4 linked regions of the Alligator mississippiensis genome follow. The protein of the gene in region 3 binds, or shares a complex with, the protein of the main gene of each other region. Links are inferred from orthologs where the notes say so. Each region holds a gene or a part of one and is shown on either strand. Other genes may lie near its edges.

Region 1 (7,921 bases), about 270 Mb from region 3:
CCTGAGATAAACCATACACACAAAAAGCAAGCAAAGACCTAACTAAATTAAATCCAGCTCACGCTGTTGGCTGAGAACTGCCAGAACCAAAAAAGGGCTGGAGCCTTGCTGGAGCCACAATGATGCTCAGTAAAGATGGGAAAAGCCGGGGTGGTGGCAATTTTTGGTGATCTCTTTTAGTACCCCAACAGGACAGGTAGGAGAGATGTGGCACAAGCTTTAGGGCACAAATGACACCCATCACTAGAAGCTAAATAAGTGTGTGCATGCATGTCTGTCTGCCTGTGAATAGATACATATGCGCGTGTGTGTATTTATCTGAGGATGTATACATACATTCATAGTTTCATAGTAGCTAGGGTCAGGAGGGACCTGAACAGATCATCTAGCCTGACCCCCTGCCACAGGCAGGAATGAATGCTGGGTTCACAAGACCCCAGACAGGTGATCATCCAACCTCCTCTTGAATTTGCCCAAGGTAGGGGCGAGGACCACTTCCCTGGGAAGTTGGTTCCAGATTTTGGCCACCCTAACTGTAAAATATTGCCTTCTGATCTCTAACCTAAACCTATTCTCCATCAGCTTAATACCATTGTTCCTTGTCACCCCAGGTGGTGCTGGAGAGAAAAGTGGTCTGCCTATTTGCTGTTGATCTCCCCTGATGAGCTTGTAGGCAGCCACTAGGTCTCCCCTCAGTATCCTCTTGCTAAGGCTGAACAAGTTCAGGTCCTTCAGTCTCTCCTCATAGGGCCTGCCCTGCTGCTCTCTCACCAAGTGGGTGGCCCTCCTCTGAACCCTCTCCACATCCCTTTTGAAGTGCGGCGCCCAGTACTGGACGCAGTACTCCAACTGCAGCCTGACCAAAGTTGCATAGAGGGGGACTATCACCTCTCTGGACTGGCTTGAGATGCACCTTTGGATGCATGACAAGGTATGGCTGGCCTTGCTGGCTGCGGTCTGGCCTTGTTGGCTGCGGTCTGGCAATGGCCTGTATGTATGCTGTGGATTCCTTCTCCCAAGGTGCAGCACCCTCCATTTGTCTACGTTGAACCCCATCCTATTCTCATCTTCACACTTTCATAGTCTGTCTAAATCTAGTTGCAGCCTCTCTCTCCCTTCAAGTGTGTCCACCTCACCCCACATCTTAGTGTCATCAGCAAATTTGGACAGCGTGCTTTCCACCCCCTCACCTAAGTTGCTGATGAAGATGTTAAACAGTGCCGGCCCAAGGACCAACCCTGGGGTACCCCACTGCTCACATCTCGCCAGGTTGAGTACGACCCATTCACCACTACTCTCTAGGTCCACCCCATCAGCCAATTTTGTACCCATCCAACTGTGCAGGCATCAATGCCACAGTCACTTAATTTATTGATGAGGATGGGGTGAGAGACAGTGTCAAAGGCCTTCTTAAAGTCTAGAAAGACTACGTCCACGGCGACACCATCATCCAAGGATTTCGTTACTTGGTCATAAAAGGCAATCGGGTTGGTCAGGCAGGACCTGCCTTTGATGAACCCATGCTGATTGCCCCTGAGCATGATCTCGCCTGCAGGGCCCCCACAGATGTGCTCCTGGATGATTCTCTCCAAGATCTTCCCGAGCACCAAGGTGAGGCTTACAGGCCTATAGTTACTTGGGTCCTCCTTCCTCCCTTTCTTGAAAATCGGGACCACATTAGCCAGTTTCCAATCCCCCGGCACCTGACCAGATGACCACAAACGCTCATACAGCCAGGCCAAGGGCTCCGTGATGACCCCTGCCAGCTCCCTCAACACCCTTGGGTGGAAGGCATCTGGACCTGCAGATTTTAAAATGTCTAGCCCTTCCAGAAGATCCCTAACTACGTCTGCACTGACTGAAGGCCTGACAGAGCTATCCCCAAGACTGTCCCTACCTCTGGTAGGCGGGATGTTCTGGTCCCTGTTCAAGAAAATAGACGTTGTGCGTCTGTGTTTGTGAATGTACACTTACGCATGTATATCTGTGCTTGTGGATATATACATGCACGCGTGCGCAGAAATGACTCAAGATAGGTGCAGGGCCCTGCCCCCAGACACCAGGAAGCCGACAGCGGATTTGGCGGTGGAGGAGGGGGCGTGGTACCAAGTGGCTAGATGCTGATTCCACGCTGTCGCCGGCTTCACATGGCCGCTCTGCCCGGCTCCGCAGGGTACCCCAAAGCACAGGGCTCGGGGCAATTGCCCCGATTCGCTCCCCACTAGGGACAGCCCTGCATGTATGTGTGCCTGTATATACACGAGGATGTACACCTGTATGTGTGCACATATCTGTCTATACACATGCAGGGCCGTCCCTAGTAGGGGACAAATTGGGGAAACCACCCTGGGCCCCGCAGAGCAGGGAGGAGTGGCCACGGCAACTCCGCACTAACGCTGGCTTCATGTCCGGCCGCTTGGCACCCCCTCCCCCGGAATCTGCTACCCGCTTTCTCGCGTCTGGAGGCAGAGCCCCGCAAAGCCTGATTTGCCCTGTGCCCCGCACCCTGCTCAGATCGTCTCTGTACACATGCATATACAAATGCACATGTGCGTGTGTCTATACATGTGCTTTGACATGCATGGGCCGGCCTGTACATACAGCTATACTCATGCCTGAATGCACGCATGTATCTGTCTACACATATGGCTGCAGATATGCATGTGCCAGTGCATCTGCTTAGGCATGAGGAAACGCAGCAGTGTGCACGCGCATGTCTGCATGTGGCTTGAACGCGTGTCTACTTTTGGGGCTGTACACACGTGTGTACTTAAACCCCTGTGTCGCCAAGAGGACCAGGCCCCTCCGCGCCTGAGAAGCAGGACCGGCGCCGCGCGCCCCTCCCCCCGCGCCCACCACGTGACGGGTGGCGGTTGGGGAGCCTCGCTCTGCCCCTCCCCCACCTACCGGCCGTTGGTTCCGCCGACGACAGTAGAACCCCGGCCGCCGCCTCCGGCGCCCGGTTCCTAAACAGAAAGCAAACTTCCCGTGCAACCCATGCGCATGCGCAACCTCAACGCCCTCCCTCTCCCCACCCACTTCCTCCGCGCTCAGCCCGGGTTCGCAGAGACGCTCTGATGACGTCATCGAACACGTTGACCTGCCGGAAGTAAGGCTGGAAGGAAGGCCGTGCTCAGGGATGCTGCTGCGGCTTGCGGGTCAGGTAAGGCGCGGGCGCGGCTGGAGGGCGGAGCCTGAGGGGAGGGGGAGGAGTCTGGGCAAAGCCCAGGGTTTCCAAGCCCCCCTTTAGGGATGAAACCCGCCCCACCCCATCGCCGAGAATGGACTCTTCCGTGAGTGACGATTTTCTCTGCCTGCGCGAGGCCCCTCCCCCTCCCGGCGCGTAGCTTTGCGTCACGTGTCCCCAGCGTTCTGCGGCCGTTTGAGTTTGTAAACCGCTGCGTATACTCGCCCTGCTTCCTGCTGTATTTCCTCATACTACATGCGCCCAGTATATAAGCAGCCCTTTGCTTTGGGAAGGCATCTTGAACGGGAGCAAAATATATAGTTTGCAGTCTTGGGCTGACTGGGCCCCCCCCTTTGTTTTCCTGCTCGACTCCAGGCTGAAATAGGAGGCGAGCCCAGGAGCAGGCAGAAACCTTGCCCTTGATTAGTGGAGCGTCAAACAGCTGGTAATCCCTGTGGAGTGAAAAGCAATGAGCCATTGGAGCCAATGGCCCTCAGCTGTTGGAAAAGGAGGAGTACTGGCATGGTGATGGAGCTGCAGGCGAAGCGGGGTGCTTTTACACCAAACAGAAAAGTCACTTTACCTGCTAAATACACGTGCCCCAATTTTGAGGGGCTGATTTTTGCAGGAGAAGAGATGCTGTTGAGCCCCAGCTCAAGTCTGGGATTGTGCCCGGTATGCAAAGGCCAATAAAGATACCAGGGGTGAAAGTATAAACAAGATTTATTGCTAGCAATAAAAGGTGCAAGCGGAATAATTTCACAGAACAAGCACACCAGATTTCTAATTCTAAGCCCCTTTTATACAGGGATTTTAGACCTTCATAAGCATCCTTGTTTGCTAATTGGCTATAAAGGAGTGACGCAAGGAGTTCTTTACTGAGCATGTCTCTATACCTGTGTTTTAGCTATGTATCTCATTAACGTACATGTATGTTTCATTAGCATACCTCTTCCCCACCTAGGGGTGTGATTTTTAGTATTTTAATGAGCTCTTTGACCCAGTACTCTGATTCTGCTTTTGTTTTCAAGCCTCCTTTATCTAAGACTGTCTCCTCCTTATCATTGCAGATGGGCATTCGTCACATAACATTCACTTTTGCTTGGGCTTTGCATAGTAGTTTCTAGGTCAAACCTCACAATGCGTTGTAGGGGAGAAAACATGTTAGCTTTCAACATGTTATGGATTCCTTGTAAAAGTACGAAGAGGCCTGGCTTGGGCTTTTTAAATCCCCTTAGACACTTCAGAAGTCAGAGCGGACAGGGCGCTCCTCCTCTTTTGGGCTGCTGCCTTGTGAGCAAGTTCAGCCTGAGATGAATGTAGCCCTGTGCCGCTTGTGTGGTGCTGTCATTTCCAGGTCCCCGATGTCAGTGGAAGGCTGGCATGGTCCTCGACTGCTCTGGAGAGTACGAGGTCAGGATAACGACACGAGACACCCTAAATTTTAACCGCTGTCTGAATCCACTGGTGGAAAAAATGCAGTATGTTAACAAGGCAAGGTTCTTTTGAGTAGATGTGTTATCTTTTATTAGACCGAGTAGTTCGAAAAAAGTTTTTAGCAAGCTTTCAGACTAGCTAAGAACTAGAAAATCATATGCCTTAAGAAGGGTGATTGCCCCCAAATGCTTTCTAAGAACTTTTTTCCAACTACTCAGTTGGTCTAATAAAAGATATCACATCTACTCAAAAAACCTTATGTGCCTATGTCCTTAGACCTACACAACTACAACCAAAAATTCAGCATGCTAACAATGCTTCTTGCAGGTGGAGGCAGACCTGGTCTCCTGTCCAGATTAACCAACCCATTCCCGTCCTCCTGGATTTCCATGCAGTGTTGCTCCTCAGGGGCCCAATCCAAAGACCATTAATTGCAGAGAAACACTAGTTGCTTTGTCTTTGTGTTTCCAAATGGACCATGTGAGCAGTGTAGGGAATTGTAGTGGCTTCTGTCACACAGTCACAGATCCACTGTGCTTGCTGCAACTACACTCTGTGATTAAGTGGTGTATAAAAAAAAAAACTTTCTGAAGTTAGGATTGGACCATTAACTGAAACGGTTCTCTAGAGATGAAAGGAAAGGCAACTGCTTTCATGCTGCAGTGCATATTTTTTCTTAACTGCTCAAGTAGTGTGTTTTAAGCCTTTGGTTATTATGAATGTATGAAGGAAGGTGAAGAAACTGTCTTTGGTTTGGGTGCTGCTTTTTCTTTATTTATTTTAAACAAAAGAAAATGGAAAGCAAAAGTCCCTCAAAGGGACCAGTTATTGACATGGTCAGCATTTTTCCTTGTGTTGTGTCCCTTTGTGGAGGAAGATGGGTGGTAAGAAGTGCATCATGTTGCTGAAATAGTAACCATTGCTAGCAAGCTGTCTACAGTAGCACCAAATCTGTTTTAGTCGTCTTTGGAGGAAGTGATCCTGATACCATAGAATTATTTTAAAGAAAGGAAGGAAGGAGAGCAGCAAAATAAGGATGCTGGACTTCCAAAAGGTTCATTTGAACCATGTTTTAGAAATAGTAGGTAAGCTACAATGAATAGGCAAATTAAAAGAAAAAGGACATAATTTTAATAGTCTCAGCATCAGACTATTCCCATGAAAAAAGAAGATAACAAGCACCATAAGAGACCAATGTTGCTGCATTGGCTGCCATGGTAGATCTAAACTGATGCATACCAGCAATGGGAAGAAAAGCATGCATCTGTAGAGGTGGACAGATAATGACAAACATGGGAAAAGTGAAGGCAAAAAATCGCCAAAGGTTTCCAACAACTGGCAAGAAATGTTAAAGACAACAAGAGAGATTTCTACACATACATCAGACAAGGAAAAACTAAAAAAGAGAGACCAAGAAGCCTGTGGGTCTATTACTCAAAGAATGTAAACTATTAATGGAAATTTCAAAGAAGGTGGAACTGTCCAATGCCTTCACAAGAGAAAAAACAAACAAAAAACCCCCACTCCAAAAACAACCAACCCAAAGAAAAAATAGCAGAATTAATATAATAAATGAACAGGAAGGATGCCGGTCATGTTAAGCAAATAATATAGTAGAGAATTTTTGACTAATCTGAATTTAAGTCAGGAGGCTGTGCAGTATTCAACCAAGGGTACTGAAGGATCTCACTGAAAAAAATCTCAGAGCTACAGGCAATAATAGATGAAGATCATGGATGGCAGGCAAGGTCCCAGACAACTGGTAAGGCTTACATACTGTACTACCCATTTTTAAAAGGGGAAAGAGAAGGACCCAGCAAGGTATAAGATCAGTCAGCCTGACATCAGTGCCAAGGAAGTTACTAACAGGTTGACTGTTTTATGCACATATTGATCACTGACAGATGACATGGATTTGTTAAGAGCAAATCATGCCAAATCTTTGCTCCTTTTACAGGATAACTTGATTTGGATCATAAGGTAAAAATGGTGATTGTAAATATTTGGACTTCAGTCCTACATGCCAGTCTTGTAAGTAACCTGGAAAAGTATGTCCTAGATCAGAGGTTCCCAACCACTGGACTGTGGCCCGGTACTGGGCTGCGAAGGATTGGCTGCCGAGTCGTGACTCCCATTTGTCTACCCAGGCAAGTGGCTTCTGCTGGCAGTCACGTGCAGGGATAAAGCTCGGCAACGGGGAAGCCTGGGAGGGAGGCAGCCAGCTCCATGCGTCCCATCCCACCCCCGCTGGTCTGCTGTATAGAAAAGGTTGGGAACCACTGTCCTAGACATAATTACCATGCATGCTAGTATTCATAGTATCATAAAAAGTTAGAGTTGGAAGGGATCTCAGAAGGTCATCTGCTCCAATTCCCTGCTCAAAGCAGGACCATCCTCACTTATATCATCCTAGCCAAGGCTTTGTCTAGCCAAGTCTTCAAAACCTTCAAGGATGGAGACTCCACCATGTCTCTGGATAATCTGTTCCAGTGCTTTGCTACCCTCCTTGTGAGAGAGTTTTTCCTAACATCTCACCTAAACTTTCCTTGCTGAAACTTGAGACCATTGCTGTTTGTTCTGTCATCTGCCACTACTGAGAATAATCTAGCTCTATCCTCTTTGGAGCTACCCTTTAGGTAGTTGAAGGCTGGTATTAAATCCCCCATCAGTCTTTTCCAGACTAAATAAGCCCAGTTCCCTCAGCCTGTCCTTATAAGTCATGTGCCCCAGCCTCCTCACTGTTTTTTATTTTTTGCCCTCCACTGGGCTCTCCAATTTGTCTACATCCTTTCTGTAGTGGGGGGCCCAAAACTGGACACACTACTCCAGATGTGGTCTCACAAGTGCCCAATAGAACGGACTACTCACTTTCCTCAATCTACTGGCAACACTCCTACCAATGCAGCCCATTATGCTGTTAGCTTTTTTTGTAACAAGGGCACACTGTTGGCTCATATTCAGCTTATTGTCTGCTATAGCCCTCAAGTCCTTTTCTGCAGAGCTGCCGCTTAGCCAGTTAGTCCCCAGCCTGTACCAGTGCGTAGGATTATTCTAAGTGCAGAACTTTGTACCTGCCGTTACTGAACCTCATGAGTTTTCTTTTGGCTTAGTCCTCCAATTTCTCAAGTTCTCTCTAAATCCTAGCCCTACCCTCCAATGTATCTTCCACTCCCCCGTTTGGTGTCATCTGTAAGATTGCTGAAGTCGCCCTTGATCCCATCATCCAGGTCACTGATGAAGATACTGAACAAAACCGGCCCTAGGACCAACCCCTGGGGCACTCCACATGATACTGGC
Region 2 (7,398 bases), on a different chromosome or scaffold from region 3:
TTGAGAGCCACTGTTCTAATAAAACAAGAACAAAGGTTCCTTTGTAAAGTGAATATACTGAATTGCAAGCTGAAAGCTAACAAGCTACATAGTATATACATATGAACTAGTTCCGGAGCAAAGGAGCCATTGATATTTTTATTTCATAACTGAGGCTGTAGTAATTTAAAGCTAACCAAAAATACTACCCTGTTTGGGTCTGGTCACTAAAGGTACTACTCACATGCCTCAAATTAAATGTGTGCATAATCATTTGCAGGCCTGGGGTCCAAATTATCTGATTTAAAATGAGTAGCTAGTCTTATCAAAGAATGCAAGTTCTTCAGAAATTAAAGTATTAGGTGAATTAATTACATGATTACAAAAGTTGCATTTTAACACCACTGCTCTATCATGTTTGATCTGTTTATGATGAGAAGTTTTTTTTCTTTATGAAGAGTCAGCTATTACTTTTCCCTTCTGTATTAATCACAAGCTGCCCAGTACATGTGTTCTTAAATATGCAGGTTATTCAGAAAGAATGGTATGGGCTGTTTATGTTGTACATAAGGGGAAAGTCACTATCCCCTTTAACTGTCCTCTCCAAGGACAGCAATGACTTGTTGAACAGTTGTGGGAGAAGTTAAAACACATCACAAGATGCTGTTTTCCAATACCATTTAGCCTATGCAAATCCAAAGAACAGGGTATAAAGGATAGCTTCAATGTATAATCTTTACAAAGAAGCAAAGCAGGCAAACTTAATTTGTGTCCCTCACTCCATGTAAAAATTAGCAAGTATAATACCAACAGGTTATTCAAACTTCAGTTTAGGTATACCAAGCCCCCAGATTTAAGTGACAAACATTCCTTCCATATACTCCTTGCTCGCTTTGAAGCCAATTTTGAGAGAAGTATTATTGAACAGACCTGAACCAGGTTTTCCTATTTGATCATGAAAATTCAGTAGAAAGAGTTCTAGTCAAAAAGTAATAGAAATGTAACTTCTGAAATCTGTTCCCTCCCCACAGTTCTTTCCCTCTCCATTTCAAATACTGTAAGTAAAGACCATCTGTTCCTCTCTCTCATCCTCTTCTCTGCACGTACATTAGGCCTAATTCTAGCTATTAATGGCACAAGCATTCTCAAGAGATGCACTGAACTGCACAAGCTGACTAGTATGTATAAAACTGGTTTTAAGGACCAAATGAGTGCAAACCGTTTTTTCCCTCTGAATTTAACACCTTTTTTCCAAGACTGTTTTTGCATAGCAGTTTGCCAAAGCAACCAGCCACACCAGGGCAGTTCCATTATTACTACTGCTACAGGAATAATTACACATTAACTTCTAGATTGTGAAGTCACACACCATCTGACAAAGCTTCAGGGAAATCAAGGCAATAAAGAAAAACTCTCTACAGAAATTTACAAGACGCCAGTTAAAATTATCATGGTTTCACCCATTCTGAATGAATAAAGTACTTGCCTTGTAAAAGGTACATCAATAGCGAACCTAAGCTGTTCATAAGTGAATGTATCACAGTCAAATTAGATCTGCAGGTGTTTGGCAAGCTCTGTTCCAAGCACTGACTATAGCTTGTCTGTCTTGATCTAATGAGACTTACAATTTTCTTATTTCCTTATTTGTGCATGGTTATATAACCATATATTTATACAAAACGTTTGTTAACTGGTGCTCCCTCTGCTGAGCATAGAAAAAACTGACCATCTCTCCCTCCCTCTGCACTTACAGCAGTTCATTTGAATATGGTGTGCTACATGAGCTCAAATATTTCAGAATCCAAAGAATGCACACCAAGTCATTTTAAGTACTGCAAGCCATTTTGAGATTACATTTCTTAAATTCCTTTTTTTTTAAAAGGATACCCCCCAAAAAAAATCTGTATGCAGCTACTCTTACAAACAACCCCTCAGATTCCTGTAACTGAAAGACATAGTTGTATTGATTTTGTGCATCTGACTGCAAGCCAACTAGTTTTCAAGCTATCCTACCTCCTTTAAAACAAACTGGCTATAACAACTTGCTACAGAGTCCTTGCTTATTTATGCAAGCCAAAAATGAAAATACATCATTTGGCTCATAACGAGCAAGAAAACTGACTGATGATGATTTAACGACACCAAAGCATTAAGAGGCTTTTTGAAGTAATTTAGAACAGAAGTCCAGCTTATGAACTGGCTATGTTCTTTAACTTGGTTTTGTTCAAAATATCATTATGATGTTAAAAGGTGCAGCTCTATTATTGGCTATAGATCTGCACTCTAAAAGATAACATTACCGACTGAATAACCATCACCAACAAACCACCTCTCAGCTGAAAAACGAAACCGAGCCATTCACCTCCCACCAACCGGCAGGGTGACCTGAATCACACATTACGGAGCTTTATTTTCTAACAGGACTTTTCTTAGGATAGACCTGTACCAAGCGATGGAGACAGCTGCCCAGCTTTGCACAGCAGAGAAATCAAGTGTTACTGGGGCTTTGCAACAAAGTTATTTGCAAATCCTTCAGAGTGAAGGCCTTTTCTCTTAGATCTTTACAAACCTGCTCTACAACAGAAGAGAAAATACAGGCATACTACCTTCATTTTTGTTTTCCTTATATTTATTCATGGGATCCTACTTGGTGCTCTTAAGATTTAGCTGATATTTTACACCCTGACTGAATGCATTTACTGGACTGATCACCTTCTCAGATCAGTGTGCGTGTGTGGGGGGGGGGGGGGGGGCATGCAGAGGAGGCAGAGAGAAAGAAATAGATATAACACCAAATAACAGCTTTACCATTCTAGAAACACCAATGCCCTAAAAAGCTAACCCGCTCCGTGGGATTTAGAACGCCAAACAATCCAGGTCTCCCTCCTTTCCCCGCCTCTAGCGCTGCTGCTGCGAGCAGGGCACGAACCGCTGCTATCATGGAAGGCAGAAGAGCTGGGAAAAGAGTCTCAAGCGCTTCGCCTTTTCCCAGGCAGCAGTCAAATACCTGCAGCCGCGCCACCACCTCCCCCCGCAGGAGCCTTCCCCTGCCGCCTGCCCCAGCAGCTCCATCCCCCCTGCAACAAAGACCCTCCGACCGCGCTGCCTCTGCCTCGGCCTCGCTCCCGCTCCAGGGGGAAGCCCGTAGCGGCCTGGCCACGCGGCGGGAGAGAAAACCCCGCCGCCGAGAGCGGAGCGGAGCGGGGCCGCTCGGGCAGCGGCGAGTGACAAAGAGCCGGAGCCGGAGCCGGCGCCTCCCCCGGCCGCTGTGGGCTGCGCGCAGCTCCCCGCCCGCCCGCCGCTCTCGGCGGCGCTCTCTCTCTCCCTATTTAAAGGCTGCCGCGGTGTTTAAATGGAGAGGCGGTGACGTGGGGCTGGAAAGCACCTTCCCATCCTGGCAGAGTCTATATTAGAGAGCGGCAATAGCTCTATATAACCCGGGCCGCCGCAGGGAGGAGGAACACAAGGCGGGGGAGCAGCCAGGCCGGCGGGAGCCATGATGGATCGGCCGAGACGGGCGCAAACAAGGGGCCGCGGCCGGGGCCGGGCCGGAGCGGTGCGTTGGGGCAGGGGGCGCGGGGCCGGGGGTGTGTGACTGCTTGTTGCAAACCGACGGGCGCTCCCAAGCAGCCGCCGCCCACGGGAAGCCGACTGGGGCCGGGGCCGGGCCGGGCGGGCTCGTGGGGCGGCGGGCGGGAGAGGGAGAAGGAGGAGGACGAGAAGAAGGCCCCGAGCCCGCCACCCGCCCCGGCCCGGCCCCCCCGGTGCTTACCACGGGGTTTGTGTTGGCCGCGCTCGCCATGTCCCGCGCCCCCCGGGCGCCCCCACCGCGGCCGCGGTCGCCCCCGTGAAGCGAGAGACGTGCCCGGCGCCGGTGCCGCCCCCTTAATGCCCAGCACAGCCCTGGCTCCCGGGCGGCGCCGCGGCCTAGCCTGGCCCGGCCTCTACTCCCGGCCCCGGGCTGCAGCCGCCGCCGCCAGCCGCCGCTCTGCCCGCTTTGCCCCTTTATATAGCGAGAGCCGAGCAGCTGCGCGAGCGGCCGGGGAGCGCGGGGGCGCGGGAGGGGGGCAGCTCTCGCGAGAGCTGGCGCCGGAGCACGGCCCCCGCGCGGTCACGTGCGAGGGAGGGAAACGGGCGGCGCGGCCGCCATGACACCTAGAGAGGCGGAAGTGCGCGGTGCGGGGCGCCTCGGTGGATATGTCCGCTGGGGGCTGAGCGCGGCTGGGCTGGCGCGCGCGACTGGTGACGCGTCTGATCGCGTCAACGCGGCGGCGACTTAGCGTTCCACGACGGCGCCGGGCAATGTAGCGCCCGGCCGTATTGAGCCTAGTAGGGGCTCACCCCGTGGCCCTTTGACTGGATTGCTTTCAGTAGTCACCCGGCTGATTCCCGCAGGGTCCTGCCCAATCCGGGAGGGTTGGCAACCCCAGCTGCGGAGGAGCTGCACTGTTACATGCATGCAGTCCTGGGGTGCCTGCCCTTAGGCCCCAGGGCTGCAGCAGGGAAGCAGGGGAAGAGGCTCCCCCCTGGAGGCCAGCAGGGCCCAGGCAGAGGGAAGATCCCAGCAGTTAGTGGGGGACTTGGGTTCACAAAACTACATGGCAAAGAGAAAATCAGTGGGGAGTCATTATTGGCTCTCACAAGACAAGAACAAGCGACCACAACTTGAAGCTGGCAGGAAGAGCCCTGGTCGAGGTAATCGTACATCCCCTTTTTGCTAGGACAGTCCCCTATTTGAGCCCTATCCCAGGTGTCCCCACTTTTTTTTAATTGGCTATTTGTCCCGTTTTCTTTTGCCAGCTGAAGTATTGCATATTCAGTAAAGCATTTTTCACATGGCATTACATATAAAAGAGATGTAATTGCATTTTTTTCCTTCCCTCCATTTCACAATAACATCCCAACATTTTACCACTTGGTTTGATTTACAATAGGTGATGGCAGCGCACGGCGGCAGCTCTGGGATCTACCCACATGAGGTGCACATACAATGCATGGTCAGCTGCAACACATGAGGTTACAGAAGTTATCAGTAGTGTTTGCTATAAAATGTCACAAACATGTCTGTTCCTGTAAGGAGGACCTACAAAATCAGCCAAGTTGTATGACAGACTTGTGGAGAAAGCAATCTGGGTTCATGGTAGAGGTGATACATTTTATTAGACCAACAAGATTTTTTCAAAAAAAATTCTTTAATTGCAAGACTTGTGGCAGCTGCTGTGACATTACTCAGCACCTTCAAACAAAAAAACAGGCCAAAAGTACTAAGTATGCAACTCCAAGCATTTCAGATTTTTTTTTTTTTATTTTTGTTAAGCAAAACAAAAAATGTGATTGGCTTTTTGTTAGTCACATTTTTGCCAGTGAGGGACTGTTTGCTTACCACTCTGTGTCATGGACACCTTTTTGGGTCAAGTGACTACATCACATTAAGAAACTCTACCAACCTAAGTTTTCATCTGCTCACACAAAATCCAAGGCAATAATTTGCAATGTATTAGCTCTTTTATCAACAGAAGAAGTGCATCGTGATTTGGAGAAGTGCTCATTTATTATGCTTAATGTGGATGCATCGAACAAAAAGGAGCAAAAGCTGTTTCCTGTTCTCGTATGCTTTTTTCTTCCAATTAGGGGAGTCAACACAAAAATAATAATTGAGTTTTCTACTGGGTGAAACATCTGATGTGCAGCGGGCATTTCTCTAGCAAGTGATTGAGAAGTACTCTCTTGGTGCAAAGCTCGTTGGAATTTGTGCAGACAATACCAACACTAACTTTGGTGGTGCCAGACATCCTGGAAAAAACAATTTGTGGCAAAAACTCCAAGCCAAACTAAGAGTTGAAGAGCTGAAAGACTTCTGCCAATTTGTCAGTCTTGAGTATTTTAAATGACTACAGCACAGCAGCACACAAATCTTGTCACTGGGACCAGTGCTGGATAGAATTTTGTTGATTTTCTATGGGCTTAAAGCATGTTTCCTTTCTCAAGAGAAATGGCTGACACTGTTAAAAGAAGTCTTCAATGACCCTAGCACTAAATTGTAGCTTGCCTTTGCCAGTAAACAAACAGCCATGTTTCAGAAGAACATAGAGGCAATTAAGAAAAATGATGTGTCAGTGACAGAAGTTGCTTTGCAGATACATTCCCTGTGGGATAACTTAGCAGAGAGACTTAGACAACAATTTGTCCCAACAAAAGCAAAGAGCCTACTGCAGTCTCTTGTAGATTGTCAGCAAATGAAGGAAGAAGAATTTTACAATGCAGAATTTTACAATGCCTGTCTTACTTGGAGTACTGGAAACCTGCTTTTGAGCGTGCCAAAAAGCTTGAGTGGGCCCTGTCAAGCAATATGCCAGTGTGGGATGAAATATAAGACAGCTTCGCTACATGCCACACTAGAATTCCTACCTTAAGTATGTTGGATGAGAATTGCCCTTTTAAGTGAGCCAGTGCAAAATCAATCATCTCATCATCTTTCTGACTGCAACCATCAGTGAATTCCCATTGCTGAAAGGTGGCTGTGCATTTTTCAAGAGATGGACAGCAAGATAGTACAATATGCAGATCTAGCTAAGGCTGTGGAATTCGTGTTGCGTTTCCTGGGCACAACCGCCCCCCGTTCAATGTGTGTTTTCTAGAATGAACAATGTGTGGTCTCCTGAAAAATCACATCTGCATGTCTCTACCATGAAGGCTATGTGAATTAATTTTGATCTGGATTGTACTGTGTTCTGTGACAAGCTGCTGAAAGACAAGCAGGCCCTCTAAAAGATAGCATCATCAGAGAAATAAAGGTGGCAACAAGCAACTTCACACCCTGAAGGACAGCAAGACAAGGAAAACATCAGTAACCACTTTATTGTAAGTGCATACTTTCACTGTTTATGCTGTTTGTAAGGGGGAAGCTACTGTATTGGCTAACTTATGAAGTCAAATCCATTCAGTCTCTTTAAAGTCATATTAAGAGCATGTCACTATATTGTGTATTTTTCTTATATGTTTTTGCATATGTAATTGAACTCCCCTGAACACTAGTAAAATCTCACCCAGGTGTTCTGGTTTCAACATGGGGAAGTATAGTCATGCAAGTCATAGTCATGGAGAAGTAGGGCTGGAAGGGACCTCCAGAGGTCATCTACTTCAACTGCCCTGCCTGAGGCAGGATCATGGTTTTCTATCACATCCCATACAAGCCATCATCTAAACTCTATATAAAGCTGCTGTCAGCCCTGACACAACATAGACCTAGCACTCTAACCTGCCACACATAAAGCAGTTGAAGCATTGCAGCCACTGTCCTGCTTCTATGAAATGTTGTATATACACTCAGGATGTCCCAGGTAGAGGGCTATGCCCCCTACTTTGGAGGAAGGCAAAAATCCCCACAGTTCATACTAATCCCAAGTACAGTGATTTAGT
Region 3 (7,795 bases):
ATTATCCAGGTGTACATCTGCGAGAGGCAAGCAGGGGAGTGTATGCTTAGGGGCAACCAACATGGGTTCATTAGAGGCAGGTCCTGTCAGACCAACCTGGTGGCCTTCTATGACCAGGTCACAAAATCCTTGGATGCAGGTGTCATGGTGGACGTAGTATTTCTGGACTTTAGGAAGGCGTTCGACACTGTCTCTCACCCCATTCTTGTTAAAAAATTAGGAGATTGTGATGTTGATGCCTACACAGTCAAATGGGTCACCAATTGGCTGGAAGGCCGCACCCAGAGAGTGGTGGTGGATAGGTCATTTTCGACATGGAGGGATGTGGGCAATGGGGTACCCCGGGGCTCAGTCCTTGGGCCCGCACTGTTCAACATCTTCATCAGCAACTTGGACAAGGGGGTGAAAAGCACCTTGTTCAAATTTGCAGATGACACTAAGATGTGGGAAGAAGAGGGCACGCTAGAAGGGAGGGACAGGCTGCAACTGGATCTGAACAGGTTGCAGAGGTGGGCAGATCGGAATAAGATGTCAGTATTGAATCCCAAGTGCAGGGTACTGCACCTAGGGAGAAAGAACCAACAGCATACCTACATGCTGGGGAATTCCCTTCTTGTCAGCACAGAGGCAGAGAAGGATCTTGAAGTCACTATAGACTCCAAGATGAACATGGGTTGCCAATGTAGGGATGCAGTCAGGAAGCCTAACTGCGCCTTGTCATGCATCCACAGATATATCACGACCAGGTCCAAGGAGGTGATCCTCCTCCTCTATATGACATTGGTCAGGCCACAGTTGGAGTACTGCGTTAAGTTCTGGGCGCCGCACTTCAGGAGGGATATGGACAGCATCAAGAGGGTCCAGAGGAAGGCCACTCACATGATCGGGGTGCAGCAGGGCAGGCCCTATGAGGAGAGGCTACGAGACCTGAACCTGTTCAGCCTCCACAAGAGAAGGCTGAGAGGAGATCTGGTGGCCATCTATAAACTGGCCAAGGGAGACCAGCAGGCAATGGGAGAGTCCCTGTTCCCCTGAGCATTACTGGGAGTAACAAGGAATAACAGCCATAAGTTGACAGAGAGTAGATTCAGGCTAGATATCAGGAGGCACAACTTCACAGTCAGGACAGCTACAATGTGGAACCAACTTCCAATGGAAGTGGTGCTTGCTTCTAACCTGGGGGTCTTTAAAAGGAGGCTAGACACCTTGCTGGGGTCATTTGACTCCAGGATCCTTTCCCGCCCATAGCAGGGGGTCAGACTTGATGATCTGCTCAGGTCCCTTCCAGACCTACCAACTATGAAAGCATTGTCTTATTTCCAGAGACTCTTTTAGCTTAGTGTGACAGGTGTTTGCCAAAACATCATTAGATACCATCTAACTTTGTGATTCTTATGTGGGGGAAATTAGTTACAGAAGTCTTCCCTCCGAGTTTCATATACAGTTCAAACACTAAGCACACCTAAGACAAAGCCAGGTGCTCACTGCTACAGTTCCTCGATTTTAGCAAATGCTAGCTCTGTAATTCACATCCAATTCAGCAATAGTAGAAAATGTAACAGGACTTGTGTGTTTTGACCATCATGCCACCTTCTAGCCAGGTGGTTCTCAGCCTTTTTTGTAGCAGGACTCATTTTTAAACACATATCAATGGCCAGTCCCAGCCCAGGGCCCCTCACTATCGGCCCACTACCTCTGTCTCCAGGTCCCAGCCCCACAGTGTGTGGAGCAGGAGGTGATATTTGAGGAAATTGCCAGCCTGCAACAGAAAAGCCACCATTTGCCATGTTTTTCTCCTTTAAAGAAGTATCTATTTTTAAAGTGTGCCCATGACCCTTTCATATATTATTGAGATCCACTTCTGAGTCGCAACCCATGGGTTGAGAAACGCTGTTCTAGCCTGTGTAAAACAGCACTGGTAAAAATGACGAGCTCCCTAAGGTTGACTTGCCTAAAAAAAGTTTTAAGATTACAAGGCTGCAGCACATCTACCATAGCTCAGCACCATCAAAGCGGGTGGTGGGGGTGCAACACAAAGGACACAGGCAGATCAGGGGAGGGGGCAGGGGGTGCCAGGCAGCGCACTGAAAGCCAAGTGGCTGATCAGCAGGGATCCTCGTTTTCTCCGATTTAAAACAAATCCCCAATTTTTGGAATTAAAAATGTAACACAAAAAAATCCACATTTTTTCATAATTAAAATGAAGCATCACTTATATCCATATATCTATATGGATCTCTCTCTCTCTCTCTGGATATTTCTATACCTTTATTTATATGCACACACAAACATAGTGATGGTTCATGCTAATCAGGGAAAAAAGTGGATTTTGGGTTACTTTAAATCCAAAAAATGGGGATTGTTTTTTCAATCAGAGAAAACCAGGATCCAGACAGGAGGACACAGGGCAAGGCAGAGTAGCCGAAAACTGAGTGTCTGATCGCGGGGAGGGGGAGGGGGGGAACGAGACGGGACTGGGGGACCGCCAGGGCAGAACAGCCGAAAGTCGAGCAACAGATCAGGGAAGGGGAACACGAGGCAGGGACAGAGCAGCGGATCGGGCGGGGGACGCAGGGCAGGACAAAGCAGCCGAAAGCCGAGCGGTCGATGGGTCAGCGGGAGGCACGGATTGGGCCAAAGAAGACCAGGCAAAAGCCCAGCGGAGAAAGCCGAGCAGCCGATCGGGAAAAGGGGAGGGAAGGGGGAGCAGGCAGGGCAGCCGAAAGTCGAGCGGCTGATGGGGCAGGGGCAGGGACAGGGACCGGAACCGGGATCGCAGTGGCCCTGAGAGCCCCCGCTGGTTCTCACCTTGACCAGCCACATGCCCGTGTTCTGCTTGGCCCCGGTCAGGTCCAGCTCCCCCTTGTCGCTCATGGCGGCGGCGACTGGGGGGGGCAGGGGACGCGCGGGACAAACTCGAGACGCCGCCGCCGCTGCTGCGCACGCGCGCGAGGGCTGCTGTCTGCAACCCCGGAAGGAACTTCACCGGACTACGGCGGCCCGCGCCGGCCAAACTTTCCGTGCCTGCAGCAAAGTGGAGCGGGGAGGGGTGGGGGAAGGAGTCTCCCGGGGATTCCCCGGCCGTGACTGCAGGGGGGCGCCGTGACGTAAGACGGGGCGGGGCCAGGGGACTTGTGCGTCCTGATGCCCCGCCCCCAGCCCCCACCCAGAAGCCGCACAGGGGATGAGGGCGGCCTTTGCTCTGCTCCGCTAGAATGGGCTGCCCTTTCCCTGTGAGCCACTGTTCCGCACGGCGATGGGCTCTGGTGTTGGGACAAGGACACAGGCAGACAAGTTTTTCCTAATATCCAACCTAAACCTCCCTTGCTGCAATTTAAGACCATTGCCCCTCGTTCTGTCACCTGTCACGAGTGAGAACAGTCAACCCCTGAGTCATGACCTCGAAGTGGGTCGCAAGAATATATGAAGGCTGTGAACAAACTTTAAAAATGGATTGTCTTTGAAAGGAGAAAAGCCTGGGAAGCAGGGTTTCCCCTTGCAGGCTGGCAGAGCTCCAGCCTGCAAGGGACTGCTTGGGGCCCCCCTTCCCCACACACTGGGGGGGCTGGGGTTGGGGGGGGGCAGTGGGTTGGGAGTGAGGGGCACAGGGTCAGGACTGGCCATCAATGTTTACAAATAGGTCCTGGTACAAAAAAAGGTTGAGAACCATTGATCTAAGGCAGGGGTTTTCAGTGGTTTTGATCAGTGTAGCCCTGGTGGCTGGACATCAAGCAGTGTACTAGGCCTATGCAAAGAAAGCGGCTAGTATTTGCTTCGGATTTGGATTCGGCCAATTTGGGGGACAGTGATTCGATTTGGTAATTCAAATCGCTGCCCTGAATCTATTCGGCCGAATCTCTAAATCAGCCAGGCCCATCCGCCGCCCACTCTCCCAGCCCAGCAATGGCTGCTCCACCTGCCCCAGCTCCTGGCACTTGAAACAAAAAAGCCCCAACTCAGTGGGTGCTGTTGGGCAGGGGGGTGATCCCCACTGCACCCCGTGCCACGTGGGGGGCTCTTCCACAAGCCCTCCAAAGCCCAGAGGCCGTTGTAGGAGCGGAGAGTCCCAGGACTTTTCTCATTTTTTTTTCTTAATGGGCTGGAGCTGTGCCTGGTGGGGTGTCCATGGCGGGGCTGGGGGAGCGGGGAGGGTTGGGGGGGGGCTCATGGCACGGCCCCCCATACAGAGTGGGGCAGTGGGGGGCAGCGGGGATTGCCCCTTTGCCCGGCAGCACCCCGTGAGCACTAGGGCTTTTCTTTAAAGGGCCAGGAGCTGGGGCAGGCAGGGAAGCCATGGGGGGGCTGGGGGAGCAGGCAGGGGTCAGGAGGGCTGGGGGAGCAGGCTGGGGATGGGGGATTCAGTTTGGATTTGGAGATTTGGCTGCTGAATCGAGCCGAATCTCCTCCGAATTGAATCAGCGCCCGAAGCTTCGCACAGCCCCACAGTGTACCCTGGCGGCTGGGTGTGGAGATGGGTGGGGTGTGGAGGTGTGAGGCTGGACAAGGGGTGGGGCGGGGGGGGTGGCACACAGCTGGACAGGAAGCAGGGGGGTGGGGGTGGCGCACGGCCGGACACAGAGCGGCAGTAGCCGTCACATGCGAGCTTCCTCTGTCCCCCATGTGTCGCCAGGCAAGTGGTGCCTGCAAGGCAGTGCAGGATGGTGCATGGCAGTGCTCCATCTCCGCATGCCCATGTATACCCCCTAGGGCCATCTCAGGTACCCCTGGGGGTATGCATATCCCTGGTTGACAACCCTGATCTAGGGGATAGTCTAGTCTAGTCTGCTCTGGCCTGAACTCCTGGATGCCTAACCGGCTTCATGCCCTTGCTCTCTTCCTGGCTTCCCCAATACCAGACCCAAGTCTGGCCTGACCTCCCAGGCATCTGACCCAGCTAGCTTCCTGTCCTTGTGCTCTGCCTGACTCTCTGGATCCCCAGCTCCGTTCCCTGGACAGATCTAGTTTCTGGCTTTTCCTGAGCCTGAGGTGACCCTCAGACCTGGCTGCCCATTGCCTGGCATGACAGCGACTTCACACTCCAGATCCAGCCACAGAGTGACCCCCATGCACCGATACACTGGGCCCCGCTATCTGGACCACAGGACTCCCCTACAGCTCCAGGAATGGAGACAGGGAAGCAGCGATTAATGCTGCCACCACACTCTCCCTGCCAAATTTCTGGAACCATTAAGAGACCCACAGGTCAGAGCAGGGCATCCAAAATCCAAGTGACAGATCAGGCAGGGGGCCACAGGGCAGCCAGGCCTAACAACGTATCTGTGGGCCTTATCTGGCCAGAGGTTGAGCACCAGGGAGTTAGGAGAAGTACGAGATAAACTCTAAGGCACAAAATGCCTATGATTTGAGGAAGGGCATATTGTGCCCAAAAGCATACATACCATCTCTCCCAACTATACAGTTGGCACAATCAAGGCTATTACAGAACAAATCCTGGTTCTCTCATACTGTCTGGAACTTGGGCTGGAACTAGTGCACCACCGTAACATTATCACTGCATGTGTCTACACAATCTGGCCAAGTGACTAGAATGAAGCTTGCACTGCCCTTTCAGTTTTAGCCCCAAATTTAGATTCGATTACTAGAAGTTTTCACTGGAACATGAGAGAGATGTTTCCCTGAATTAAGACAAAATGTGACAAGTGTATTTACCAAAGAAATAGTCCCTGCAGAGTATGGTGCCCAAACATTACAATTCTGCAAGTGACTTCAAGTATTTATTCACCTGAAAACTGGAACTAATTTGTATTTTACTATTTGACTTATTCTGGTCTAAACCTTTGTGTGGATGCTTCTGTATAAAGCCAATGAGAATCAAGGGTGTTCAGCACTCAAACAGAGCTCTGTATCGTGCAGGATTGGCCCGATAGACTCCTCCATTTTAAAGGAGAGAACAGAACATCAGGGACTGTGATACAACAAGCAATTTATAACTAGTAAGGTGTTTGTAAGAGGAGCTTGTACCTTGCAAGATTGGAGCCCAATATGATTTTCCAAGACTACATAAATGAATGAATGGTGGAGCCGGTTCTCCTTACTTACAGTTTTAGCTCAGTCCATATACTCAAACCAAGCCTGTCCCTACCTAAAAAATAAAAAAGGGGATGGATATATTTTTTTCAACACACATAAAATTTTAGATAACCTTGTGCCATTAATTCTAATAAATGTTGCTTACACCAGGGGTCAGGAACGTTGGCAGCAGGGGGACATCTTAACCAAACTTAACTCCAAGCTTGAGCGGCTTCTGACTCAGTCCACACAACCATAGCTACAGTCCCATTCCCCATGTGGTGGTGGTGCTGCTGCTGCTGCTTCTCCACACCACCCTGGCAAAGACCCTCACCATCAAAATGACACCAAAGCTGCCCAGCCCTATGGGCTAAATAAATTTCTCCATGCGCCAGATTTGGCCCGCAGGCCATACACCATAAAACTACTAATTAGAAAAGAGGAATATAAATCTGAATCACTGAAATACACTTGTAGCCAACATAATTGTCCAACCTGAGACTTGTCCAGCAAGAAATCATGACTCTTAGTCAGAGTTAAAAAAAAAAAAGGAAAACATTTAAAAATCTAGTAATTTCACTGGCTCAGCTGGTACTTGAGAGCTAAAAGAGACAAGGCAGACTTTTTTTCCTCTTAGTGACTTGCTACAGGCAGCCTTTCCAGTCCTGTTTCCATGGAAACTAAATTAAAAGGGGCAACAAGGTAAGAAGAATTGTCATTAATTCCTAATTTAAACTCCTAACGTTCTGTTTTCCATTCCAATATTCAGTTCCATGGAGGAAGAATCTCAGAGGCCAGTAGCTGAGAGCTGAAGCTGAATGTTAGTTTCTATTTTTTATCTTGTTGTGTGAAAACTGTTGTTAAGTCAAGAGAAATAAACTACAAGGTTTTAAATTACAGACTCTTTTACTGAACTTTTTTTATTCACTCAGCTGAGTGCAATCATGATTGCACTGTAGTAAGCAGCTGAGAAGGGCTTTCCTTTGTCAATTATAGGTGCGAGCTATTGGCTGAAGAATAACAGCACTGTCATCTAGACATTTAAGGCCTGGTGTTGTCCTAGTGAAGTCAGTCGGAGGTTTGCCCTTGATTACAACTGCTTCATGCTTCCCTAGAGCCACGGACATCAATGCTGATAAGTGCAAAGTGATGCACCTGGGGAAAAATAACCTGAGATGCACATACAGGATGAGGGGCTCTATATTAGCTGTTAATACTTAGGAAAGAGATCTTGGAATTACTGTGGATAGTTCTCTGAAAACAGCCCAGTCAAAAAGGCAAGCAGAAGAATGTTGGGAATTATTAAGGAACGGATCCAAAACAAACCAAAAAATGTCACTGTAGAAATCTCTGGTATGCCCACATTCGTGAATACTGCATGCTATTCTGGTACCCCTGCCTCCAAAAGGATATCCTAGAAGTAGAAAGGTACATACAGAAAAGGACAGGAAGGATGATCAGTAGCTTAGAGAAGCTTCTGCATAAGGAGAGACTAAAGAGAGACTAAACAGGCAAGACAGAGAAAAGATGACTGAGCGGGTGGTGATAAAGGTCTATAAAACCATGAACAGCATGGAGAAAGTAAATAGGAACTTACTATTTATTGTCTTTCACAATACTAGAACTTGGGGGGCACACAATGAAATTTTAATTTCCTAACAATGGCCTCAAAGCTCCTTGCCCCTACAGAAGCAAGCCTTACATTTCCTAGGATTCCTTTTTCCTAATCCTTCAGGGTTCAGCTGAAAGATGGTTCAATTTAATT
Region 4 (6,895 bases), on a different chromosome or scaffold from region 3:
CATCCTTTCAGGAAGTGGGTGTCTTGGATACCCTCCTGCTGTGACTGGGAAGCCCTGGTGGAGGTAACAGCACAATTCCAGTCCACTCAGACAGAACTGAGCCTCCGGCCTGTTATAGTGAAGAGAGAGCAGTGATGTCTCCACCTGTGCACACAACATGGAAGCACCCGCCAGGGCCCACAGGTAGCCTAGAACTAGAGCTCGGAAAGGAGAACGCACTGGGCAAAACGGAGGGGCTGCTAATGATTTCACAGCTGATCACGTCAACAGGGACAGGAGCTGAACAGTGCAGGGCCTGAGAGTCCCCAGCCCAGGGCTTGCAGGGGTTCAGTCCTTCATTAGGCCATGGCTATCATTCCCCAATGCGCTCAGTCCCATTGCTTACCTACTTCACACCTTGTGGAATTCTGTGGGAGGCAAAAGCCAGGACAAATCTGAAAAACAAGTTTAATAGCGAACCAGAGGGGATGGGCTCAGGAGCTGCTGCCCTCCTCGCCAATACAGCACATGGCCTGCCTAGGTGGGTGGCATAGGCTGTACTGCAGCCTGCAGTGGAGCCACGGGGCAAGGATGTAGCCTCCCAGCTGGCCGAGGAGAGCATGTGCCATAGGCAAGTCCTCCAATGACCGGCACCTGCAGGCAGGGACCTAGGAGCTCACCTGCGTGTGACCAGCCCCTACAAAGGGCAGTTCTTCAGAGACTGGGGCATGAGCTGAGGTCTCAGCCTGCTCGGCAGAGAAGCAGTCTCCTGGCCTGGATGGCAACCCAGCAGAGATGTGAGCAGTGCAGGCCTCTGGGCTGGCTGCACAGACTGGAATGCATGGCAGGGTTCAGGCCCACGCAGATGAGGGGTGAAGGAGCCAAACTCCTGAGGCACGGATCAGAGAGGTTGCTGGCAAGTCCATGTCTGTCCAGACAGCCTGTCAGGCAGGGTCCCTGCTGCCTCCTGCAGACCCTCAGCTCCCGCCCCTTAGAAGGCCAGTTTCTTCATGAGGAGGTACACCCTGGAGTCCACTTCGAAGCCATGCAGGTTGTTGGCATCTCCCTGGAGACGCATGAGCAGCCCTCCATAGGACACGTAGGCAGAGCTAGGGTGGAGGGGAAGGATGAGAGCAGGGTAGGAACTCGGGGGAGGCTGACCATAGCCCCAAGCTCTAGAAGCCTAGCTAAGAGGCAGCAGCACTGGCTCATCACGGGGCTGAGGGAGCTGGCTGCCAGGGCAGACTCCAGCCAGCCCCTCAGGGAAGCAGTCCCACACGAGACCAGCGTACTGGGCAGCTCAGCACAGACTGCTAGCAGAATCAGGTGTTCCTACCCCCAAGCTGCCAATCTGGCACCCAGACAGGACATGGACCACCCCCCACCCCTTGGCATCCACGAAGGACCAAATTCCCAATGAATGACAGGGAAGCAGCACAGGGGAGACACTTACAGTCGCGTGGCAGCCTCCGTAGACGTCTCGTCTCCCTCAATCCTGTACACCTTCCCATACATCACATACTCAAACTGGTCAGCCCTGTGAGAGCAAGACAGCAAGGCTGGAGGAATCGGCATGACCCTGGACCCAACCCTCCTGCCCAACACAACCCCCCTCCAGGCTAAACCCCTGCCAGCTAACACTGAACGCCCCCAGTCATCCTTCCACCCTCATGCAGCTGATCAGCGCTGCAGGCTGAAGCTGTCTGCCTCTTTTTTTCATTTGGTGACAGGCTCCCATCCAACACCACGGAGCTAGGGGATTTTTTTGGCTAATACGGATGGCCACTTATTAACCAGCCATATGGGCCAACACCAATCTGATAGCCAATATACAGCCTGGCAACTTGGAGAGCAGCATCCGGCCTGTAAGCCTGGGGGGCGGGGAGGTGGGGGATGGGCAGGCAGATCAAGGCCCACCACAGTGAGGGAGGACGTGGGACTGGGGAAGGGGCAGGTGCTGCCTGGCCAGGGTGGTGAATGGGCCCCTGGGGTAGGTTACCTCTCCCAGGAGTACACACAGCAGAGAAGCTGCCTCCTCCCCAGACACAGCTCCACCCTGCAACTCACCTGGGGGGCCCATTCACTGCCCCGGCTGTGCAGCACCTGCCCCGCCCCACTCCCTCCCTCACCGCGGGGGCCTCGATCTGCCCCCACACCCCTTCCCTCCCACTGACTCACCAGCCAGACGCTGCTCTCCACAGTGCAGGGCCGCGCTCCTGGCCGAGCGCAGGCTGAGGCTGCTTGCATGCGCGCGGCATTTAGTCGGTGACGTTATCGGCTATGCCGGCCAAAAAAAGCCAACCGCCGATAACGTTAATCGCCGCCGATCTGATACATCACCGATGTATCTGCGCCCTCGACACGGAGCCCCGGCGAGGAGGGAGACCGAGAACAGGCGGGGACCCGGTCGGACGCGGCAGGGAGGAGCGTCGTAAATACACAAGGCAGGGGTTGAAACAAAGCCAGGCTGCAGACACGGGCGCGCCCGCGCCCCTACCTGGAGGGCCGGTCGTCCGTGGGGTTGTACTCGCCGTCGTCCAGCGTCCCGTCCTCGTACAAGGTGCTGGCGATGACCAGGCGGAACTTGTCACCTGCAACCCGCGGGGTCAGCGCCGGGCCGGGGGCGCGCGGGCCTGGGGTGGGGGGTGAACCCTTCCCCGCCCGCCCGGCCCCGCCCCGCCACCTACCCAGGTCCACGGGGTAGATCTGGATGTTGACGTCCAGGATCAGGTCCATCTTGAAGGACTCGCTCTCGCAGTGCAGGCGGGACACTGCGGGCAGAGCGGGGGTCAAGGCCCGGGGGGGCGGGGCCTGGGATGAAGGGGGCGTGGCTTGGGCACAACAAGGGGGGGGCGGGGGAGGCTGTCCCGGCCCTGCTTACCGCGGTCGAACTTCTTGCCCTCGGGGTCGATGTCCTTCACATCGAAAATGTCCTCGAACAAGATCCCGGCCATAGCAGCGGCCGCGCTCCCCCGTGCCCGGCGCCCGCCGCGGCGACACGCGCTGCTACTGCCGCTTCCGGCCGGCGCGCCGGAAGTGCCTCATCCGTGCGGGGCGGAAGTGCAGGCTCGGGGCGGAAGGGCCACTCCGGGAGGGCGTTCCATGCTGGCAGTCCGTGTGCGCATGCGTGTGCCGGGGCTGGACCCCGGGCTCCCTGCTCCGCGCGGCCGGGCCCGGGATGGGGCGCTGAGCCGGGCGGGTGCATGGCCGACCCGCGGAGGAAGAAGCTGACCAGCGTCGCCATCGCGCTGCTCTTCCTCTCCGGGGGCATCGAGTACGGTGAGTGCCTGGCCCCGCCCCGCGGCTCCCGCTTCCCTTGGACCCATTTCGCAGGCGGGCACACTGAGGCCGGGCAGGATCCGGCCCGCGGGACGGTCCCCAGCCCTGGTGGTGGGTGCGAGCTGGCTCTCTGCTCCCCCCCGGTGTCTACAGACTGGAGCGAGGGATGTTTTTAAGGCCAAAAGGGGTCTTCTCAGACCTACTGTTTGACTTGTCGGGTCACGTGAGGTGCTGGGTCCTGGATCCTGAAATAATTCTTCCTCCTCCTGCGTTTTCACCCTTGTGACACGGCGGTCACTGGGTCTGCGGCGTTCTGCGCCCAGCCCGCAGGCCTGTCCTTGCGGGAGCGGAGCTGACTTTGCTGTTTCCTCGGTTAATATTTTACAAGGTGCAAGCTGAGCCTGCAGCTCGGGTAGGCCCGGGAGGAGCCCGTTCCTGCTCTTCGCACCAAGGATCTCCGAGTGCTGGGGGAACTGGTAGCCCAGCGGGGAGCAGGGCAGGAGCGTTGACTGTCCGGGAGCTCCCGACCGCTGCAGTCCTACCTCCTTCTAGGAGGAGGCTTCAAACCCAGCGGGGATTGGGGTCTGAGTGCCGGGAGAAGTGGTGGATTGCCAAGTTGTCCTTCCCTCGGGTCCTCTGGGTTCATCCCCCTGCTGGGAGCAGCCAAGGGCTCAGCAATGTTAATGCAGCAAGGACCAAGGGTGGATGCCGGAGCCGAGTGTCATTCCCCTGCCCTTGCCTGTCTCGCCACCTGGGAGAACGTGGCAAGTGCTGGCACTTGCGCGGCTTCGCGACATAAACCGATTCCCCGTGCAGAATCGGGCTGGGGGGAGGCGCAGTTGGCATTGGCCATTTGGCTTGTGAGGGCAGCCAGGCGAGAAGGTCTGTTGTTACGGGGCCTCACCCCACCGCACTGCACCTGGCAAAGCAGCTTTCCTTGGCAGCTGGGTGCTTCAAGCTGAGCTGACCGGTCCGGTGACGTGAGCCACTGGTGCCCTGGGGAGCGGAGCCAGGGAGCGTCTAACGAGGAGGTGGTGTTTGACATGGCAAGGGTTTGATTGAGGCACGTCAGTCAGCGTGCCGGTCCCAGGCTGCAGGGCCCAGCCTTGGCACCCTCTCACCTGCTTTCTGCCTTGTCTGAGCTTGCGCTTCCTTCGGTCTCTGCAGCTGTGGGAGTGCTCCGTGTTCCCGGATGTTTCTCACCCTTCCTTTTACTTCCCTTTGTGCCTCTGTGCTTCCCAGGGGTGTTGCCCTCACCCCTTCCTCCCAGAGTTGGGCTGCCTTTCCACAGCTGCTGTCTGGGGCATGGCCTCACAACTAAGATGAGCCCCTGCCTCCAAGAGCCGATGGCCCACTCTAATGAGCCCAGGTGTGGGGAAATGGGGAGAGGCAGGGACTCAGCCGGATTCTCCCTGCAGCTCAGCGGCAGGTGCAGGAGTCTGACTTGGGCGTCTTGTCTCCATGCCCGTCCCCTGGGCATGCCTGTCTGTGCTCAGAGCATGCTGGGAGGTGCTGGCTGGGGTCTGTGTCCAGCCGTGCCCCTTGTGCTATCACGTCGGCACCCACGCCGACATTCAAGCAAAAAAGGGTCCCAGGTACCCGGGGGTTACGCAGGCCAGGTGCAGACTGGAAAAATACGGGCCAAACCCATGGCTCATGTCCCACAGCTGGGAACACTGCGGGGTGTTCATAAATGTCGCTCGTCTTCCCAGCTTCTCCCATCAGCCCTGATCTCCTCCAGCATGAGTCAGCTCCACTCCTGCTGGCCCAGTGCCCAGCTGGGCCCTGTCCAAACTCACCTCTCCGCTCAACCCATTCCTGCCACTAGTCTTTGGTGACCCTTCTAGGTCTTCGCTCTACCCTCCTTGCCCTCTTGGGGTTTCCTCTGTTGAGTGAGCCCCAAGAACCCCTCATCTCCATGAACCCCACTTCTTGGTCTGTCTCCCTTCTGTATTCTCCTGGATGTCACCTGCCTAAGAACAGTAGGGTCTGGACTGAGATTCCCCCCCCACTAATTTACAGCAGCTTCCCTTTTCACCGAGGCATGGGGTCATCTCCAATGTCTTCCACGTCCCAACTTTGCCTTTTCTTTCTCCATGATCCAAGCATGCTCTGTCCCCCCTTGAGCTACCGCTTTGCAGTCCCTGCTCTCCCGTTCTCCGGGAATGTGGGAAACTGAGGCCCAGGGGTTAGTCAGTCCTTGGTTTATGTTGGATAGGGCCACAGAGCCAGCCCTGGTGCGTGGGCGGGAGGGTGCTGAGTCCTCCCAAAATGAGCAGGGGGTGGGGAGCTGCATGCGCTGCCAGCTCGTAGAGAGGAGGCCTCCAAGGGCAGCAAAAAGACTTTGAGCCAGGCAGATCTCTCTTTGAGCAGCCAGCTCCGTCGTTACAGAGGGAAGTAGGGCAAGGGTGAGCAGGCGGGGGCGGGCGACAGTGTTGCAGCACCTCTGTCCCTTGGGGGAAAGCAGGCAGGGGCGAGCTGAGCCTGGAGGGAGAAACTGGCCATGGGGCCTCCCTGCCTGACACCAGAGACCTGCCCTGGCCCTGCTCTTGGTGCCCAGGGTGACTTGGGGGCCTTTCTGCTTTCTTGGTCCTGGACCTGAAACTCCAGAGCTCCCTTGCAGGTGATCAGAGAGCAGTCCCTGAGCCGTGGGGCAGGGCTACCTCTCGGCTGCCTGCCGGGGACATCTGGAGTTGGCCGGTCGAGATAACCTGTGCTTTCAGGAATGGGAGGGTGTGGGGCAGCGCAGGGGGCAGTCCAAGGCAGGCTGGGGGGATCTGCCGCTAGCTGTACAGAGCTTTGTGGAGCTTTCTAGCTGTGCTGCCTTTGCAGGGGAAGCGACCTGGCCATGGCTGCTCTAATAGCATGTCCTATGCAAAACGTGCTGTCCTTTCCTACTCTTACTGCTGACCAAATGCCTCAGGATATGCCAGGATATGATGGACTAGCCAGGTGCAGCCTGAGAGGGGAGGCTCTGAGCAGGCAGGGGCATTGCGGGGGTCCCCATGTCTCTGGGAAGCCAGTGCTGTCTCCTGGGGGAGAGGGAAGGACTAGGAGAGCTCGCTGTGGCTGCGGAGGGTCTGTCTGCATGGCTGATGCTTCGCCTTGCTGTGCCAGGCATCAGGAGAAGCCATCCAGCTGCCCCAATGGCTGGATCAGCTGAGGTGGGCAGGGTGGGACCCCCAGATGGTGAGTCTCAGGGACCCAGATGGCCTTTGCTGTCCTTGTCACTGGTCAGCCCATGCCAGTTTGGGGGGTGGTGGTCAGGAGCTGGGTGGCCTGGCGTTGTGCTGAGATGATCCAGGATCAGGCTCAGTATCGGTGTGGGGTGTCCTGGTAGGACTCAGCCTGGGGCTGTCTCTGACTGTCTGTCTGTCTTCCTTGCCTGCCAGCGGTGATCCTGCCAACCATCTGGGCCTACCTGCAGACTCTCCATGCGGAGCCGTACTTCCTGGGCCTGGGGATTTCTGCCTTCAGCCTCACTGGCCTGCTGGCAGGGCCCCTCTTCGGGCTCTGGTCGGACCGCACCCAGCGCACCAAAGCAATCATCCTCTTCGCCAACACGTTCGAGATTGCAGGTGAGGCCGTGAGAGCAGACTGGGGGGGACCTTGTAGTTCAGATTCCAGCCCTCCCTGA

Evidence for each region.
Region 1: GTF2F2 (region 3) and GTF2H5 share a complex: the UniProt entries of both Homo sapiens proteins name them as parts of the TBP-based Pol II pre-initiation complex. The link is inferred for Alligator mississippiensis from reciprocal best matches to the Homo sapiens genes GTF2F2 and GTF2H5.
Region 2: GTF2F2 (region 3) and GTF2A1 share a complex: the UniProt entries of both Homo sapiens proteins name them as parts of the TBP-based Pol II pre-initiation complex. The link is inferred for Alligator mississippiensis from reciprocal best matches to the Homo sapiens genes GTF2F2 and GTF2A1.
Region 4: GTF2F2 (region 3) and POLR2H share a complex: the UniProt entries of both Homo sapiens proteins name them as parts of the TBP-based Pol II pre-initiation complex. The link is inferred for Alligator mississippiensis from reciprocal best matches to the Homo sapiens genes GTF2F2 and POLR2H.

What each region holds. Positions count from the first base shown.
Region 1 is NC_081824.1:136,363,214-136,371,134, reverse strand, and holds the start of GTF2H5 (general transcription factor IIH subunit 5), read right to left. Parts: upstream 3,007-7,921; 5' UTR 2,908-3,006; intron 1-2,907. UniProt on the Homo sapiens protein: Component of the general transcription and DNA repair factor IIH (TFIIH) core complex, which is involved in general and transcription-coupled nucleotide excision repair (NER) of damaged DNA and, when complexed to CAK, in RNA transcription by RNA polymerase II.
Region 2 is NC_081825.1:266,198,169-266,205,566, forward strand, and holds the start of GTF2A1 (transcription initiation factor IIA subunit 1), read right to left. Parts: upstream 3,001-7,398; 5' UTR 2,921-3,000; coding exon 2,822-2,920; intron 2,811-2,821; exon of another isoform or gene 2,791-2,810; coding exon of another isoform or gene 2,788-2,790; intron 1-2,787. UniProt on the Homo sapiens protein: TFIIA is a component of the transcription machinery of RNA polymerase II and plays an important role in transcriptional activation. TFIIA in a complex with TBP mediates transcriptional activity.
Region 3 is NC_081824.1:410,989,508-410,997,302, reverse strand, and holds the start of GTF2F2 (general transcription factor IIF subunit 2), read right to left. Parts: upstream 3,012-7,795; 5' UTR 2,875-3,011; coding exon 2,809-2,874; intron 1-2,808. UniProt on the Homo sapiens protein: TFIIF is a general transcription initiation factor that binds to RNA polymerase II and helps to recruit it to the initiation complex in collaboration with TFIIB.
Region 4 is NC_081830.1:83,504,549-83,511,443, reverse strand, and holds POLR2H (DNA-directed RNA polymerases I, II, and III subunit RPABC3), read right to left. Parts: upstream 3,004-6,895; 5' UTR 2,934-3,003; coding exon 2,861-2,933; intron 2,751-2,860; coding exon 2,667-2,750; intron 2,571-2,666; coding exon 2,477-2,570; intron 1,517-2,476; coding exon 1,433-1,516; intron 1,089-1,432; coding exon 971-1,088; 3' UTR 431-970; downstream 1-430. Other genes in the region: major facilitator superfamily domain-containing protein 8, read left to right, coding at 3,183-3,258, 6,651-6,836. UniProt on the Homo sapiens protein: DNA-dependent RNA polymerase catalyzes the transcription of DNA into RNA using the four ribonucleoside triphosphates as substrates.